2 linked regions of the Canis lupus familiaris genome follow. The protein of the gene in region 2 interacts with the protein of the main gene of each other region in a pairwise test. Links are inferred from orthologs where the notes say so. Each region holds a gene or a part of one and is shown on either strand. Other genes may lie near its edges.

Region 1 (8,523 bases), on a different chromosome or scaffold from region 2:
AAGCCATGCATATATTGCCCTCTGATCTTTAACAGGGGTGCCAGGAATATACAACGGAGAAAAAAGATAGTCTTTTCAATAAATGATGTTGGGAAAACTAAACTTCAACATGTAAAAGAATAAAATTTAACCCTTACATTACACCATTTGCTATGGTGTATCAACTCAAAATGGATTGAAGACTTAAATGTAAGACCAGAAGCTGTAAAACTTATAGAAGAAGGTATAGGGAAGAAGCTTCATGATATAGATTGTGGCAGTAATTTTATGGATATGGCACCAAAAGCACAGACAGCAAAAGCAAAAAATAGACAAATAAGACTACATCAAACTAAAAACCTCCTGCACAGTAAACAATAGAATAAAAAGGCAGCCTACAGAATGGGAGAAGATATTGGCCAATTATAGATCTGATAAAGAGTGAACTTCCAAAATATATAAGGAATTCCCACACTCAATAACCAAACCCAATAATAACCCAATGAAAAATGGGCAAAGGACTTGAACAGACATTTCATCAAAAAAGATGTAGAGATGGCCAACAGATGTGTAAAAAGATGCTCAATGTGACTAATCATCAGGGGAATGCAAATCAAAACTGTAATGATTGGACAGCTATCATTGAAAAAAAAAGACAAGTGTTGGTGGGGATGTGAAGAAATTGGTACCCTTTTACTCTATTGGTGGGAAAGTAAAATTGTACAGCTGCTGTGGAAAACAGTATGGAGTTTCCTCAAAAAGTTAAAAATAGGTGCAACTGTCTGCCTCAGTAAAGCACGCAGCTCTTGATCTCAGGGTCTATGCCCACTGGGCATAGAGATTACTTTTAAAAAGTTAAAAACAAAAATACCATATGATCCAGCCACTGTACTTCTGGATATTTATCCAAAAGAATTGAAATCAGGACCTTGAAAAGATATGAGCACTCTCACATTCATTGCTGCATTATTCACAAGAGTCAAGATGTGGAAACAGCTTAAATGTGCATCAGCAGATGAATGGATAAACAGAAAATGTGTATATATATGCAGTGGAATATTATTCAGCCTTTAAAAAGAAAGAAATCCCACAATATGCCAGAGCATGAATGAACCATGTGGACGTTATACTAAGTGAAATAAGCCAGTCCTTCTGTGACTGAAATACTGTATGATTCCATTTATATGAGGCATCTAAGACTCATAGAAGCAAAGAATAGAATGGTGGTTGCAGGGGTGTCTGGGGAGAAGGGAGAAGGAGCAGCTGCTAATCAGCGGGTTTAGAATGTCAGTTATGTAAGATGAGTAAGTCTAGAGATCTGATGTATAATGTTGTGCCCATAGTTAACAATACTGTATTGTGCACTTATAAATCTGTTAAGAAGGTGTATTTCATATTTAGTGTTCTTACCACATTAAAAGAAAAAAAAGATGCACAATGAGAAAGCCAATAAACTGAAAAAAGAATTGAAATTTCAATAGCTTTTTAAAGAAATTGAAATAAATGATGATATACCATGAATCATTGCCTGGCCCTAAAGGCGTTTGAATTTGCAACCTGTATTGTATTGTCACTGGTATATGGCCTAGATGGGAGGATGGAACTAGGAGGCATGGATGAGATCATCCAGGGAATGTGTCTAGAGAGAGAAGAAAACTAGGTCAAGGACAGAAGTTTGGGGAAACACTTGAGGAAACAGATTCCCAAAGGAGCCTGATTAAGGATGAGAGAGGTTGAAGGGGAACCTGAGAAGTGTAATAGCATCAAATCCAGGGGAGCCGAAACATGAGAAGGAAGGAAGCAAGGGAGGGAGGGTGGGAGGAAGGAAGGAAGGAAGGGAGGGAGAGACTATCAAGTGTCTCTGTTCTGTGTTGTATGCCTCCAACCCGGAAGGGAGGCCCGCCCAGCTACAGACAGTACAGCTTAGACCAGACATCCCCAAGCTACCTTGGTTCACAATACCCTTGAGTATAAGTGGTTTTTTTTTTTTTTCACAGTGCTCCAAGGCCAAGAGAAATACCAAACAAGTTCCATGTATTAAGTATTTAGGTCCAAACATGTTAAGTATTTATGTCCTTAAAACTTAATAACCGTTTGAAAAAATACTATACCTAAAAGAAATTTTTAATCTATTTTTTTTATGTCATTCTTAACCACAATGACTCACTTATGGGATGTATGCCTCTGTTGGGCACTGTAAAACTTCACCAACCTTCTCAAACTGACACTCTCATTAACTGATCTACATTGATTTTTATACAGAACTTGCTTTTTATCACAGCAACTACAGTAAACCCGGCATGGAAAGAGAGGTCATTGGAAAAAATGTAGCTCTAGCTCATGTGAAATTGTGAACAGTCTCTAGCGGGCCATGCTCACAATGTCTGCTAGAGGTTGGTGTGCCCCATAGAACCCCCTATAGGTTTGCTGTGGTGCCCTGAGACACCTTGGCACAGAGTCTGGGAACTATGGGGTTAGACAATAGGAGCTGGTCTAGAATCCTGTCATTTATAACTGTGTTTCTATGGAGTCGTTTGGTCTGAAATCCATGTGACTAACCTACAAATGAATTTATGGAGTCTTGACTGGTTTCTGATTTGAGTAACTGCTACCCGCTAGTTGTCAGAGCTTTATACTAACTTGGGAAGTAGGATTACCTAAATAAATCCAAAGTTCAGTGCCTTCAGTGCTCTCCCCAAACCAGCCTTTCCCCAGAGTTTGCAAATATATTCTTCTCCTTTCTCTTGCCTTCCTCTGATTAGAAAAGAAACAGGGGAAAGGGGTGGGGAGGGAGTGAAAGGAGACAGTGACTGTCTAAAGCGGCCAAGGTGGGACTCAGCACCAGGGCACCTGAGACCTGACTATATACTCAAAGACCCTGCATGAGAAGCTCCGTTATCTAGCAGCTAGCAGCTCCATTCAAATAGCACATGAGGCTAGCCAGCGTGCACCTTGGGCAAGTCACCTAGCCTCTCTGGGCCTCTTTATGTGTGTGTGTGTGTGTGTGTGTGTGTGTGTGTGTGTGTGTGTGTGTGGCCTGTAGCAATACAAATATCATAATATATATTGAAAGAAGACTGAGAAATTGGATTAAACTTTTCCTAATATAAGCAATACCCTTCTAATGCTTTGCTCCTGTACAGACTCCATGATTTGAATGATGTCTGCTAAACCAGGTGCATTTATTTCAGAATAATTTGTTTCCCTGTTTTTATTTATCAAAGACCAAGGAACCCCTTATTAACAAAAGCAAACCACAGGGTTACCGCATCAAATTGATAAAATTATCTCCAGAAGCCAAAAACAACGCGGTGCTTCAGTGCATTTTTGTCACAAGCATATGAACAATTTGTATTTGACATCTTGAAACCGTGAAGCAGCACAGATGAGCACTCATGGCTCAGCCCACCGCCGGGTACCATGCTGGACCATCCCACCCCTTAAGGCCCTTTGCCCTCCACGATGCGGCCTCCTCTAACCAAGGAGGGGGGGGCAGCAAGAGGGAGCAAGGAGACACTGGCCCTGCCCTCCTGCGGCCACCATTCATGGCCAGCCTGGTGGTCCTGCTTACCCTGCCCCAGGGCGCTCAGGCTCAGCAGGCAACTCCCCAGGGTCCCTCTCCAAACCTTTGCCAGCAGAGGAGGGACACTTCAACCCCCGCCCCCCTTGCCCTCATCTGCCTTTGTCTGCGCTGCCAGCATGGGGGTGGCCGAAGCTGAGACCTGGAAGGCCCGAGGGCTGGATGAAAGAACCGTTTCACAAAGTCTCATTTCCCTGCCACAGCCCCGTCCCTGCTTTCAGGCCCAGCCCACGCTACCATCTAGAAAGAATCGTGGATTGCAGTGATTTTAGAGCAGGCAAGCACTCTGTATGAACTGCACCCACCCACAGCATATACGGCTCCCCACGCATAGCCTTCTCACTCATCGTGCCTTCTAGAAGCTAAGAGACAGGTTTCCCTTGGTCTTTGTTTCCTTCCCTGCCTTCTGCAGCCTGTCATTTGCTCCAACACCCCGGCGGGAGCATGTTAAGGCCAGCGGTGTCCCGTTTCTTCAACAGCCCGCGTACCTTGTACCTTGCCTCTCCTCATAAAGGCTGAAAATGCTCCTCTTTGATTTCCAAAGCCCCCAGCATGTTTATGCGGTGCCAGGAGGGGAAGCTTAGCTCTGGCTGGCTGGCTGGCGGTTTGTGCTAATTGTCTGGCTGCACTTTAGAAAGAGGCTTTTTGAATCTGAGCATTTAGGGAGAAAGTGGAGAAGCGTGGCTGTATGAAAGAGCAATTGATGTTAAATATTCATGCTCTGCTCTCTGTTAATCAAAATCAGTAACCCCCATTGCTTAGCTTCTGTCTTGCTGGCTTCTTACTATGATTGTGCTAAAGAAACTTGGATACAAAACAATGCCAACAACACACACACACACACACACACATACACACACCCCAAGATGTGGGTGCTTATGGGTTTGAAGTGTTTCCAGTTAACATTGTGCAACTCAGCATTGTCTGATTTCTCTGGGATGTTGAATGAGCCATAGTTATCCCTTCCATCAGCATTTTAGAACCACTATCCTCCCCTTTTTTGCTTCTCTCGTGTTGAATTCACCAAACTTTGCCCTTGCTTAAAATCAAGGCATTTTTTGGAAATAATTCTTAAAGTCAATCACAGTAAATCCTAGTTTATTTTTCGGAGATGATCAAATTATTTTACAAAATAGAGAAGAAATTGACTGTAATTCAACAAAAAATGGTGATAACATAGGTTGTTTTGGTTAACAACTTTAAGGTTATATTTCCTGGGCTTTTAGGAAATAAACATTTTATATTTTTGCTTGCTGATTTATTTCAAAAGAAGATGTAATACAACCACAGAAACTTTCCAAATAATCACTTAACTTAAAAGGAAAAGAAAAATAGCTCTTAAAGAAAAATTTTTTGTTTTATTTTGGTAGCTATATTTTTTTAAGTTTTCGATAATGAGCGTGTTTTAGCATTATAATAAAAATAATAAGTTATATGTTTTTTAAAAACTGAGCAGTAGCTGGATTTTATGTTTCAGAATTCATCAAGCTCTTCCTTACCTATGTCATCTGTAAGAGGAATGCTGGTGAATGTGTTGTCCTCCTCTTCCTCTTTGCTGGACCCGTCCATCTTGTTCACTTTTCTGGCCTGTTAGAAAAATGAGGACAGGGGAAACGACTGTTCTCCATGTGATCGCCCGTGTTAAATCATTAATAAGTGAGCGTCCACGCTCATTTTTTTATCTGATCCTTGCACTGGCCCCTTTCTTCCTGCTTTCCACCTGAGAGGTTCTTACCTGAACAGTGCAGTCCTAACCCGGAAATAGAGACCCAAGTTAAAGAGTTATAATCCTTTACCTGGAGCTGTTGAGCTAGCGTTACTGCTGTACCCTGGCCAAAAGCCAAACCTTACCTTCAGTCCAGTGACAGTTTGCTTGAGCTGAATTGCCCAGGAACATTGCCCAAAAGGCGCTAGAATGAGGCTGGGGGAAGAGATTAAATTTTATGTGGTTAGCATATTTTTGGGACACCAACCATAAATTTGTCAAGGATTTTGGTCGGTGACCTAGCAGCAGGACTCGGTCACAGAGCCTCAGTTTCCTGTCCTATATGATGACAAATCTTTTATAAGAATTAAGAGTGAGTAACATTCACTTGATAAACGTCAACCACAGTAATGATCACAAATCATCAGACGTATGCGAGGAAGTAAAATTCTCTATGTAGTGAGCTCATCAGTGCCCTCTCATATTACTGTGTTTGTACCTGACCCTATGAAGGCTTATTAAAATGATAGATCTCCTTTCTCTATCCTGGAGGAATCCAAGGGAGAGGATGGTAGCCTTGCCAGCCCTTAGGCCGATAGCCCTTTGTTAGAGGAGGAAGCATTCTTTTATAACTATTTTTCTTGGTCATCTCATCCATAGTCAGATATGTAGACAAACCCAAAACTATCTTAGAATGTCATGTCATCGCTCTTTCGGGTGGGGGGAGGGGAATAAATCAGCAAGTTTGATGAAGAATTTTAAGCAGATATCAAAATTGACTTACTACATAATAAGTTCTACCTTAAGTGCTTTGATACATAGGATTTTTTTTTTATTCACCTGAGTTCATTGTTACTATATCAAGCAAAATGGATGTGAGCTGTTGGAAATCCTGAATGTTAAAAATTAAATTCGCTAGAATAGAATTCCCTCTAATTTTCTAATGACAGTCTATAAATATTGAGTGCCTGTTCTATACAAGCTAGGGACTTTGGAGGGTTCAAAGTAACGGATGGTTATTGCTGTTAATAGGCTTATAAAAGAGCTCAAAGGCAAGAGTTCTGGAGGTTTATAAAAGGGAAAGAGTATGTCTGGCTAGCAGATCTTGAAAGGCTAGAGGCAGTGACATTTGAGATGCATGATCAATGACAAGTGGAATCCAATAGGCAAAAATGGCCACTGGTAAGCACTTTCTCAGTGAAGGAACATGGACAAAGACTCAGAGATGGGAAAAAAGTAAGCACATATGGGAACCAAGAGTGGAGGATGTACATAGCTAAGGCATAGGAGATAAGGATGAATATGGGGTAAGGCCATATCTAAGAGAGCGTTGAATGCCAGACTGTGTCCAGTCCTCTAAGAATTGGACACTTACATGGGATTAAAAGGGTGAGAAAAAATAGAGAAAGAGCAAAGGAAAGGCTGGGAGAGCCATCAGACAATGATGCAAGACTAACCCAGTGAGGAGAAACCAGGAGGGAAGGCCTAGCTTATCTTTCACGTTAAGGAAGTGTCAACAAGGTTGTCAAAGAATACTATAGTCAAAGCTGATCATAAGGGCAGTCCTGTGTCTCCTAGGACATTCCTGCAAGCACTTGCTCTTAACCTCTATATTAACTACTCCTAATAAAATTATTAGGCAGAGGATGGAAGAGAAGAATTAATTAACCTGGTAAAAGAATTTAGAAATCAAAGGGCACATTTGATTAAATTGCATATTTGGGTTTTATTTTATTTTATTTTATTGGGTTTTATTTTTATTATTCATGGCCAATTGTGCATTTTGCTAGAATTAGCCTATGTTCTTTGCCTTCTTTCGGATTATCTTTTTTTTTTTTTTTAAAAAAGGTCATTTGTTATGAAATATCTATCCTAATGGACAGGGGAATGAAAAGAGATAAAACTCAAGTCCATCAGCATTGCTACTATCTCCATAGTCTTTGGGCAATAGTTATGATGGAATGTTCACTTTTAACTGGAGTGCAGAATTACCTATGGGTTGGGCGCACCTGAGTGGCTCAGGGCACGATCCTGGAGTCTCAGGATCAAGTCTCACTTCAGGCTCCCGGCATGGAGCCTGCTTCTCCCTCTGTGTCTCTGCCTCTCTCTCTCTTTGTGTCTCTCATGAATAAATAAAATCTTTTTTAAAAAAAGAATTATCTATGGCCTGAAATTATCAATAGTGAATATTTCCCCCTATGTTTTCTCCTAATAGTTTTATTGTTTTGGCTCTCATATTTAAGTCATTGAACCATTTTCAGTATCATTTTTCTATGTGGAGTAAGGTAGGGATGCAGCTTCACTTCTTTGTATTTGGATATTTAGTTATCCCAACACCATTTGTTGAAGAGAACATTTTTTCCCTCATTGGATGGTTTTGGGATCTTTGTCAAAAATCAATTGGTTAAAAAAAAAAATCAATCGGTCATAGATGTTTGGGGTTAGTGTTGGAATCTCAGTTCTGTTCCATTGGTTTATATGTCTATCCTTATGTCAGTACTGCACTGCTTTGATTACTGTGGCTTTGTGGTAAGCTTTGAAATCAGGAAGTATGAGTACTCCAACTTTGTTTTTAAATAATGTTTTGACTATTTGGGGTCCCTTGAAATTTCAGATGAATTTGAAGATTGACATGGATCTGGCAATGTATTCCTGGATTTGACAGCAAAAACATGAGCAACGAATTAAAAATAACTTGGACTTCATAAAAATGTAAATAGTATGTACATCAAAGGACATTATCAGAATGTGGGAAGGCTATCTACAGAATGGGATAAAATACTTACAAATTGCATATTTGATAAGACTTCAATTTCTAGAATATATAAAGAACTCTTATGATTCAACAACAAAAAGAAAACCTAATTTTTAAAATGAGTGAAGAACATGAACAGATATTTCTCCAAAGAAGATATGTAAATAGCAAATAAACACATGAAAATATGTTAAATTTTATTGGTCATTAAGAAAATGCAAATCAAAACCACAGTGAGAGGGCAGCCCCGGTGGCACAGCGGTTTGGCGCCGCCTGCAGCCTAGGGCATGATCCTGGAGACCCGGGATCGAGTCCCACATCGGGCTCCCTGCATGGAGCCTGCTTCTCCCTCTGCCTGTGTCTCTGCCTCTCTCTCTCTCTGTGTCTCTATGAATAAATAAATTTTAAAAAATCTTTTTTTAAAAAAACCACAGTGAGATACCACCTCACACCTACTAGGATGGCATTAATAAAAACAACAATAACAAAACTGGAACCTAATGG
Region 2 (8,780 bases):
TGTCATGTCCAGCAAGTCCTTAAATTCATCAGAAAGTTAACTCTATGTTGCTATTCCAGTACCCTCCGAGTCTCCTCAGCACACCAAAATTGTGCTAGTTAAGTTCAGAAAAAAATGCTGATCTTTGGTGTTCATACACAGGTGATGAAGACTGGCTAAACATACAAAAGTGAGTGTGTGTTTGGGAAGAACTGGAGGAAAGTGCTAGCAAGCTGACAGCAATGGAGCTAAGATGGCAACAGAGGGCCACTCCAAATGCTATGAACTTGGAAATAAGAGGCAACACAATGATTTGTGTTCAACAGAGAGGCTATTTTTTAGTTCTATTATCAGAATCAGTTATTCAGAAATTATTAGCTCAGTTCCTAACTTACCCCTTTTTCTGAGAGGTTCAGTGTAAGCAAATGCAAGGTTCTGGTGTGAGATGACTTCCAGTCTACAGGCATTACGTTTCCATAATTATCTGTCAGGGCGTTCCAAATCCTTAAAAAGAATAAAACTACAATCAATGATAGTTAACATCCCACATGTCTTTTATTAAACAAATACAACTATAGTGAAAGAAAGAACAAGACATTTCAAAGCAAAACAATGGAAGGCCTACTGTTTTCCAGAAAAACACCAACAAAGAAGAGCCTCCTAAAGACGACTAAAGGAAAACCAGATAATTGGGCTGACAAGAAGAGCTGAGGGAAGACACAGTGGTATTAAAAACTCTCTCAAAATCGACAGCTCACATTTCCACTACACTAGGTGCCAGGCACCGTCCTAAGCAATTTATATATATTAACTCATTTAATCCTCAAAAACAGTATTATGAAGAACCGTTATTACCCCATTTTAAAGATGAGGAAATTAAAATACAGGGAGTTCACGTAATGTTTCCAGAGCCAAATGGGTAGTACATATGCTGTGTTTTACACTTATTTTTCTTCTGTAACTTCCAAACATATTGATCATTTCATAGGGTGAGTAATCTTTCTCTAACCAAAAATGTGTTGTCCTTTCTGGAGAAAGGATTCAGTCTCAATGTGAGACTGGAGTTTAATATCTATTTTGTAATATAATAGGCTAGGACAGATAAAATAGAGGAAAGAAAGGGGCATTCACAATAAAATGCACAAAGGTAGCCAATGCAATGGAAGGGTACTTCCTTATTGTCAAACAGCATTTTGGGGAAGCAACAGAGTAAAACGAAAGGGTGCTTGATTAAAATTCAGGAAACATAGACTCTCGTTTCCATTCTTCTTCAAACCATAAGTCTTTGGCCATGTTCCTTAACCATGCTAGTTAAGAGCTACCCTTCTATAAAATGAGAGGCTTGAGTAACAGACATTGCTTCCAACTCTATTACTCTAAGCAGTATTTCAAATGAGTTGTACTAAGGAAAGTCCCAAGCCACACCGGATAAGGACAGCTAACTCCAACTTCATGACCAAAATTCAGATTTCAGTACCAAAGTAATCACAGCATAATAAAACATGACACTGTATTAAAAAATGACTTCAGAGATATAAATGAGATTAAATTTAATTGGGTAAGTTAAACACTACATACATTAAGTTATTTAATGGGCAGAAATACATAGATGTCATAAGGAGGAAAAAAGCATTAAATAACTGGGTTGTTGTTTGTTTTGTTTTTTTCCCAAGTGTCTAAGCCACTAAGAACTAGACCACTGGAGGCATAAAAATAAGAATGCAAGCTTAAAAATAAAGAAGCAATATACTTGATTTAATGAATTTGGGATTTGGTACTAAAGCGAAGTAATGGGACCATAAGTGCCAAAAACATAAAATCCCAAAAATGATGTTTGGCTTTGGAATGCATATTAGCCTCAATGAAAATGTGAACCCAAAAAGCTCTAGGAAACTGGCTCGTTTACCCAGCACATCTCCCATATGCATAGTTCATTTCTACTCTCCTCTCTGTTAGAATCACAACCTTCTCCGATGCCAAAAACTCCTATAGAAGGCAACAACTCTGGACTGCTAAACTTCATGGGTTTTCTGACCCCTACCTTTCTGGATAAAAGATACTCAAATACTGAATAACTGACTATATACCTAACCCTGCTTAGGAAATCAAGTAGGATATGCTAGCAGGTGAAGACAGTCCAGGATTCGGGGACTGCTTGTTTGCTTCTCCTTAATTGAGGCTGGAAGAAGACAAGTGGAGTGGAATATTTCACCCAGTAGAAGAGACTGGGTGATTTTCACCTTCCAAGAAAGTGAAGGACAATTAACAGTCCTCTATCTCCACCAAGGTCAGAACAATTATAGCAGGAAGGACACAGGGCTGACTGAAGTGAATGATTTCCAGATTTCTCCAGAACAGACATGAATTGCCTTTATCCTTATCATAAAGTATTACAATCAGTCATAAACAACCAGCAGGACAGCCCTTTTCCAGGGAGATCAAAGTTCTGTGACATGGAATCCTACATGATACCCTTCTAAAGTAAAACCAGTAGCAGATAAGCGCAATGCAGAGTTAGCCAAAACTAAAAGTGGGGCTCAGAGAAATTAAATAAAGTGCCCTAAACCAATGCAATGTCTGAGTGAAAGAATTCTCAACTCTCTCTAGTGAGAGGAGCAGGGCCATGAGTCTTTGGCCATGTTCCTTAACCATGCTAGTTAAGAGCCACCCTTCTATAAAATGAGAGGCTTGAGTAACAGACATTGCTTCCAACTCTATTACTCTAAGCAGTATTTCAAATGAGTCGTACTAAGGAAAGTCCCATTGCTCTTATCAAGCAATGGAGAGATTTATGCAACAGAAAGGGGGCAGTGAGCAGTGACCAACCCGGCCCCTGGAGAGAGAAATAGACAGGTTACACATTCCGAAATCAAGAACCATGAATTCCTACCAACATATCATCTACTAAAAACCATTATCAAGAGTAACAAAAAAATTTTTTCAAGCTTTACATCACCCTAAAATTTAAGCAGAGACTAAAATAAACTACGTTCTAGACAGTACAGGCAAAGCAAAAATAGGGAACCTTAGCATTTGTGTACAAACCACAAATCTATTCTGAGGAGTTACGTCTGACAAACCCAAATGCATCATAACTATCATTTTTTAATTCAGAAGATGTCCTGAGTCCTAGTGACTCAGAGCCTCTAAATCTACATATATATATAAAACTATCTTCTCTAGGAACAGACTTTCCAAAATGTCATCTTCTGCTACTGGCTGCATTCGTGCGTGTATAAAATCCAGTCATAAACTCTTCCCTTCACACTGGGTGGAACACTGTACACGGGTGCCAATGAAATGATATGGTCCCCAACCTAGCTGGGGTGGAACACCCACTAAGTCATGTTCACAGGCCCTCATCCCCCCAATCCCTCTTCTCAAGCTTCCTACCATATTCACAGAGGAAAGGAGGCCATCAGGCGGAAAGGCCCTTTCTATGCCTGTGGATCCTTCTCTCTCTCTCTCAAGAATCCTTCCCTAACCTCTAATCTCTCCATTCCATCAAGGCTCTAAAAACCCATCCCTACCTATTCCACAGTGTTTATTCCATTCCTTGCACCCTCAGCTTCCCCAGACCTTTCCATTCCTTGCACCCTCAGCTTCCCCAGACCTATACAATATGCTCAGCTCCTTTGCTCTCACCATTCCTTTTACAATCTTTTGGGGGTGAAACCGTGGTACATAATCACAACCCATTTTTAGACAAATTATAACTGGGGTTCCAGACAGTCAAACAAAGTGCCCCCTCCCAGGCACTCTGCCTCCCTCCCCCTTAGGCAGCTCTCACCAATCCCTATCAATATCCTATCACTGCACTTATATGATTGTATAATAACTACCTGTTAATGCATTCCTTGTCCCACCAGACTAGGAGATCCTTGCTATTAATAACCACAGCCTTTCTTTCGTTTGTTTTTTGTTGTTGTTGTTGTTGTTGTTTTTGTTTTGTGTGTGTGTGTGTGTGTGTGTGTGTTTGCCTCTGTGGGGATCTGCACGCCACCTGGGCTCTCAGATGGAGCCAATAAATTCCTATGGCATAAGAGCTGCTTCAGCGTTGGTACCTTTGCACGTGCCACACCGGCGAGCTGTCATGCTAGCTAGACTTTTCTTCATCTGCCAAACTCCCACTCATCCATCGGGATCCAGTTTTCACATTTCTTTCCCTATGAAGTCTTTCCTGCCTCTCCCACACATCCCCTTTTAAATCTCCTAGATCAAAAAATAATTAAATAAATAAATAAATAAATCAATCAATCAATCAATCAATCTCCTGGGTTTCGCACGTTATGTCCAGGACAGCATTTGTCACAGCCACACCAAATTATCTGTTGACAAATCCAGGCCCCTTCCTACGTTGTGCCCTACGAGAGAGGGGTCCGTGCCGTCACCTGGGTCTTCCCTGCCGAAGCAGCCCCTGGCACTAAGCGCTTAAATAAAAATAAACTCTAGTTGAATGAATGAGCGGCTACACACGTGCCCGAGGAGGTGCAACGTCTAACTCCCGGCTCCGTGGACGGAGGCTCCCCTCGGAACCCCGCCTGGGGACCCTGGGTTTCCAGGGAGCAGGAGGAGGGCAGGGGACCAGGGGGAGGGAGCGCAGGGGAGCGGGGGATTTAAATCGCAGGGCGCGCGGGGCCGCAAGCCCCAGGGAGCGCCGCGGGGCAGGAAGGAGGGCGGGGCCTCGCGGGCCCGGGAGGCGGAAGGAGGGCGGGGGGCGGGGCCTGTGGCCGGAGCCCGCCGAGGCCGCCGAGCCAGGGCCAGAGGGCAGGGCGAGGGCAGGGCGAGGGCAGCGCGAGGGCAGGGGAGGCTCCCGCCCGCTCCCGCCGGGCCCGCACTCACTCGTCCCCCTGCAGGAGGCTGCACTCGGTGATGGGCCGCACTGCCGCCCTCGGGGGCTCGGCGCCCGGACCCGAGGGGCGGAAACACAGGCTCAGCTTCTCCTCCAAGCTGCAGGCCAGCGCCGGGAAGCCGTCGCCTCCCCCGCCCGGCCCTGCGCCGGCCTCGGGGCTCGCGTTACAGTTCTCCTGGTCCTGGAGGCTCCGGGCTGGCTCCTGGAACTCATAGAAATCCTGCCAGTCCCCGTCCGCCGCCATCGCCGCCCGGCGCAGTGGCGCGCCCCGCCCCGCTCCGCCGAAGGCCCCGCCCCGCCCCGCCGAAGGCCCCGCCCCCCCGCAGGCCCCGCCCCCCGCAGGCCCCGCCCCCGCAGGCCCCGCCTCCTCCGTCCAGCTCCCACGTGGGCCTGTCCGGGCCGCCCGGCCTGGGTATCTTTCCCTTTCCTGAGTCTTCTCCCAGGTGATTGCGGGTCTCTGTGGAATGGAAAGCCTTAATTACGTTGGGTCACTTCCTATAGTCTCTATCGTCCAGGAATAGCTTCGCTTAGTGGGAAACTGGCCGACATGTGACTAAAATAAAGGGCTTCTTTAAACTTGCACCCTAGCATCATCACATGGTGCCCCGAGTAGGACCGGCTCCTTTTGTGACTTTCCAACCAGAAGAACAAACAGAGCCACTTGGAAATGCTTAAGTCTTACCAGGATATTTTACATCTGACACGTTCAAAGCACTTTCTAGACCCTGGGGAATCTACAAAGATGAATAATTATATGAATTAATTTTTTTTTTTAAACAAAGTTTATTCTTTTTTTTTTAATTTTTATTTATTTATGATAAGCACACAGTGAGAGAGAGAGAGAGAGAGAGAGGCAGAGACATAGGCAGAGGGAGAAGCAGGCTCCATGCACCGGGAGCCCGACGTGGGATTCGATCCCGGGTCTCCAGGATCGCGCCCTGGGCCAAAGGCAGGCGCCAAACCGCTGCGCCACCCAGGGATCCCAATTAATATTTGCAAAGTACTTGAAACGGTATTGGAGAAGGTAACTGAAAAGACGTACCTGCCAGTTGACCCAAGGGCTAGACCCAGGCACTGGAAGTCTCTTCACCCCCCCCTCCCTCCCTGTCCTTGGAATGGGGTTCCACTTGCCTTTCCTGTTCCCAGAGGCTGCTCCAAGGACATAGCCTTCAGACAGTATGTTGAGAACACTGGCAGGGTATACTATAAATGAACCCAGTTAAGGCCTCCTAATAAGCTTTTAAGATTTGGCAGGTGGGTGTGGAGATCTATTTGTCTTGTCACTAAAGGCAAGCCTCTTATGTATGTAAGTTCCCTCTGCTTATTAAAACTGCTACATATCAACTTGGAGTGACCTCTTCTTTCTTAGTCTTTGCCCTCCACCTAAGGAGGCTGATTTCAGATTGCATCTGGGAAGCTCCCAAGAGGGTTGCAAACCAACAAACAGTATGAATCTTGTAGATGTTATGCTAAGTGAAGCCAGAGACAAAAGGACATATGTGGTATGATTCCACTTGTATGAGGTACCTAAGTAGTCAAAATCATAGAAAATAGAATGGAGTTGCAAGGGAGGAGGAGTTAGTGTTTCATGGATACAGAGTTTCCTTTAGGGATGGTAAAAAATTCTGGAGATAGATGATGGTGATAGTTGCACATGAATGTACTTAATGCCACAGTACACTTATGTATTAAAATGCTAATTTTTGTGCTATGTATATTTAACCACAATTTTTTTCTAAAAGGTGTGGCTTTAGGGCAGCCCTGGTGGCTCAGCGGTTTAGCGCCGCCTTCAGCCCAGGGCATGATCCTGGAGACCTAGGATCGAGTCCCATGTCAGACTCCCTGCATGGAGCCTGCTTCTCCCTCTGCCTGTGTCTCTGCCTCTCTCTCTCTCTCCTCTCTTGTATTCTCATGAATAAATTAATAAAATCTTTTTTTAAAAAAAGGTGTGGCTTTATTAAATCACTTGTTAGAACTGTCCTATACATATGTGCCTTGCTTATTTAACATCTGCTCTCCTTAAAAGTGGATCCAAAACAGACATTTAAAATCAGTGCATGCATTGTCCATGGTAATTATTGATAAATTGCTAACTTGTTGATCACCTCTTCCACTTTTCTGTTTCATTGAAACTGGATTTTGTACTAGAATTATGTAAATTAACTTCAGTAGAAAGTAATCCAAAATTAATAAGATAGACTGTTATTGAAGACTTGAGTCTGAGGGACTCATTCTGAGAAGAAATTCAGGGGAGATGGGAAATCTCTCTGGCCCATACAGGAAACAATATGAAGGAAAGAAAAAAAAAAAGGTGCCAAACTTCAAGAACACAAAGTCCACATCCTATGGAATTGGGAGGAAAATGAATGAAAAAATAAAAGTAAGAAAGCTCTATTGAGCACAATGACACACTGTCAGAAGATGACACTATGGAAGACTGACAGTGTGCATTCAGGAGATGAGGTAGCATCATGAGGCTCCACCAGTCTATAGAAAGGAATAGACACAGACAATTCAGCGTAGTTTACCAGAGAAACTGGGAGGGTTCGGTCACATTTGAATGATATAAACTGATTCTGTAAATGATTTTACTTTATGTCTGATCCCTGGATCACCTGTTACACATTTAATGTTGCTCATATACATTACACTCTATTTTCCAGTATGCTTATTAATATGAATTTCTTTTAAAGTTACTGGCCCCAGATTTTCCATAGTCTCAATGGTGTTAGGACAAGGGAAACATAGCATCCAGCAGTATTCCACAAAATCAACCAGAGTCCCCCAAAATTTACAAAGATGAGGGTATTACAAGAATAAGCATTAAAACTGAAATACCCTACTTCCTTGGAGTTGTATTTTCTCAGGTCCTTTTTATTCTTCTCCCTCCAAGGTTTTGTTTCTAGAAATGTTAAAATTCTTTGGCTGTAAATAAATACAATTAAAAGAAAAAAGTCCCTCCTCCTGCATGTGCACTCACACGTGTGTGTGCTCTCTCTCTCAAATAAATAAATAAGGGGCACCCAGGTGGCTCGATTAAGCATCTGCCCTCAATTTGGTTCATGATCTTGGAGTCTCTGATGAAACCTCATTTGGGTTCCCTGCTCCTCGGAAAGTCTGCTTCTCCCTCTCCTTTTGCCCCTCCCCCTGCTCCTTCTCTCTCTCTCTCTCTCTCTCTCATATAAATAAATACAGTCTTTAAAAAAATCTCAAATAAATAAAATCTTTAAAAATTTCTTTTGCTATCTTTGTAGAAGGAAAAATTTGTTGTGAGTGGGGTTGTGATAGGTGAGACTAGGAGTGAAGATGCCTGTTCTACACGGAGTATTATAATTTTAAAGCTGTAAGTATAACATTTTCTTTTTTTTTAAGTGATCAAAATGTCTTGTCATCAAAAAGCTGCACCAATATTGCTCCATCAAAATAGCCTCATCAAAAAGTTAAGAATCTAATATCACCTCACACTTGTCAGAATGGGTAAAATCAAAAACACACGAAACAACAAGTGTTGGCAAGGATGTGGACCAAAAAGAATCCTCTCGCACTGTTGGTGGGACTGTAAATGGGAACACCCACTGTGGAAAATAATATGGAAGTTCCTTAAAAAAATAAAAATAGAACTATGCTATAATCCAGTAATCACATTACTGGATATTTACCCCCAAAATACAAAAACACTAAGTCCAAAGGATATATGCACCCCTATGTTTATTGCAGTATTATTTACAATAAGCAAATATGGAAGCAGCCCAAATGTCCATTGATAGATGAACAGATAAAGATGTGGTATATATACACAATAGAATATTATTCCATGATAAAAAAGAATGAAATATTATCATTTGCAACAACATGGATGGAGTTAGAGAGTACAGTGCTAAGTGAAATAAATCTGTCAGAGAAAGACAAATACCATATTATTTCACTTATATGTGCAATGTGAGAAACA

Evidence for each region.
Region 1: the proteins of FEZ2 (region 2) and SCOC interact in binary tests that used the Homo sapiens proteins (3 or more experiments, as listed by UniProt). The link is inferred for Canis lupus familiaris from reciprocal best matches to the Homo sapiens genes FEZ2 and SCOC.

What each region holds. Positions count from the first base shown.
Region 1 is NC_049240.1:3,207,731-3,216,253, forward strand, and holds the start of SCOC (short coiled-coil protein), read right to left. Parts: upstream 5,147-8,523; 5' UTR 5,129-5,146; coding exon 5,059-5,128; intron 1-5,058. UniProt on the Homo sapiens protein: Positive regulator of amino acid starvation-induced autophagy.
Region 2 is NC_049238.1:29,239,570-29,248,349, forward strand, and holds the start of FEZ2 (fasciculation and elongation protein zeta-2), read right to left. Parts: upstream 5,115-8,780; 5' UTR 5,076-5,114; coding exon 4,822-5,075; intron 484-4,821; coding exon 375-483; intron 1-374. UniProt on the Homo sapiens protein: Involved in axonal outgrowth and fasciculation.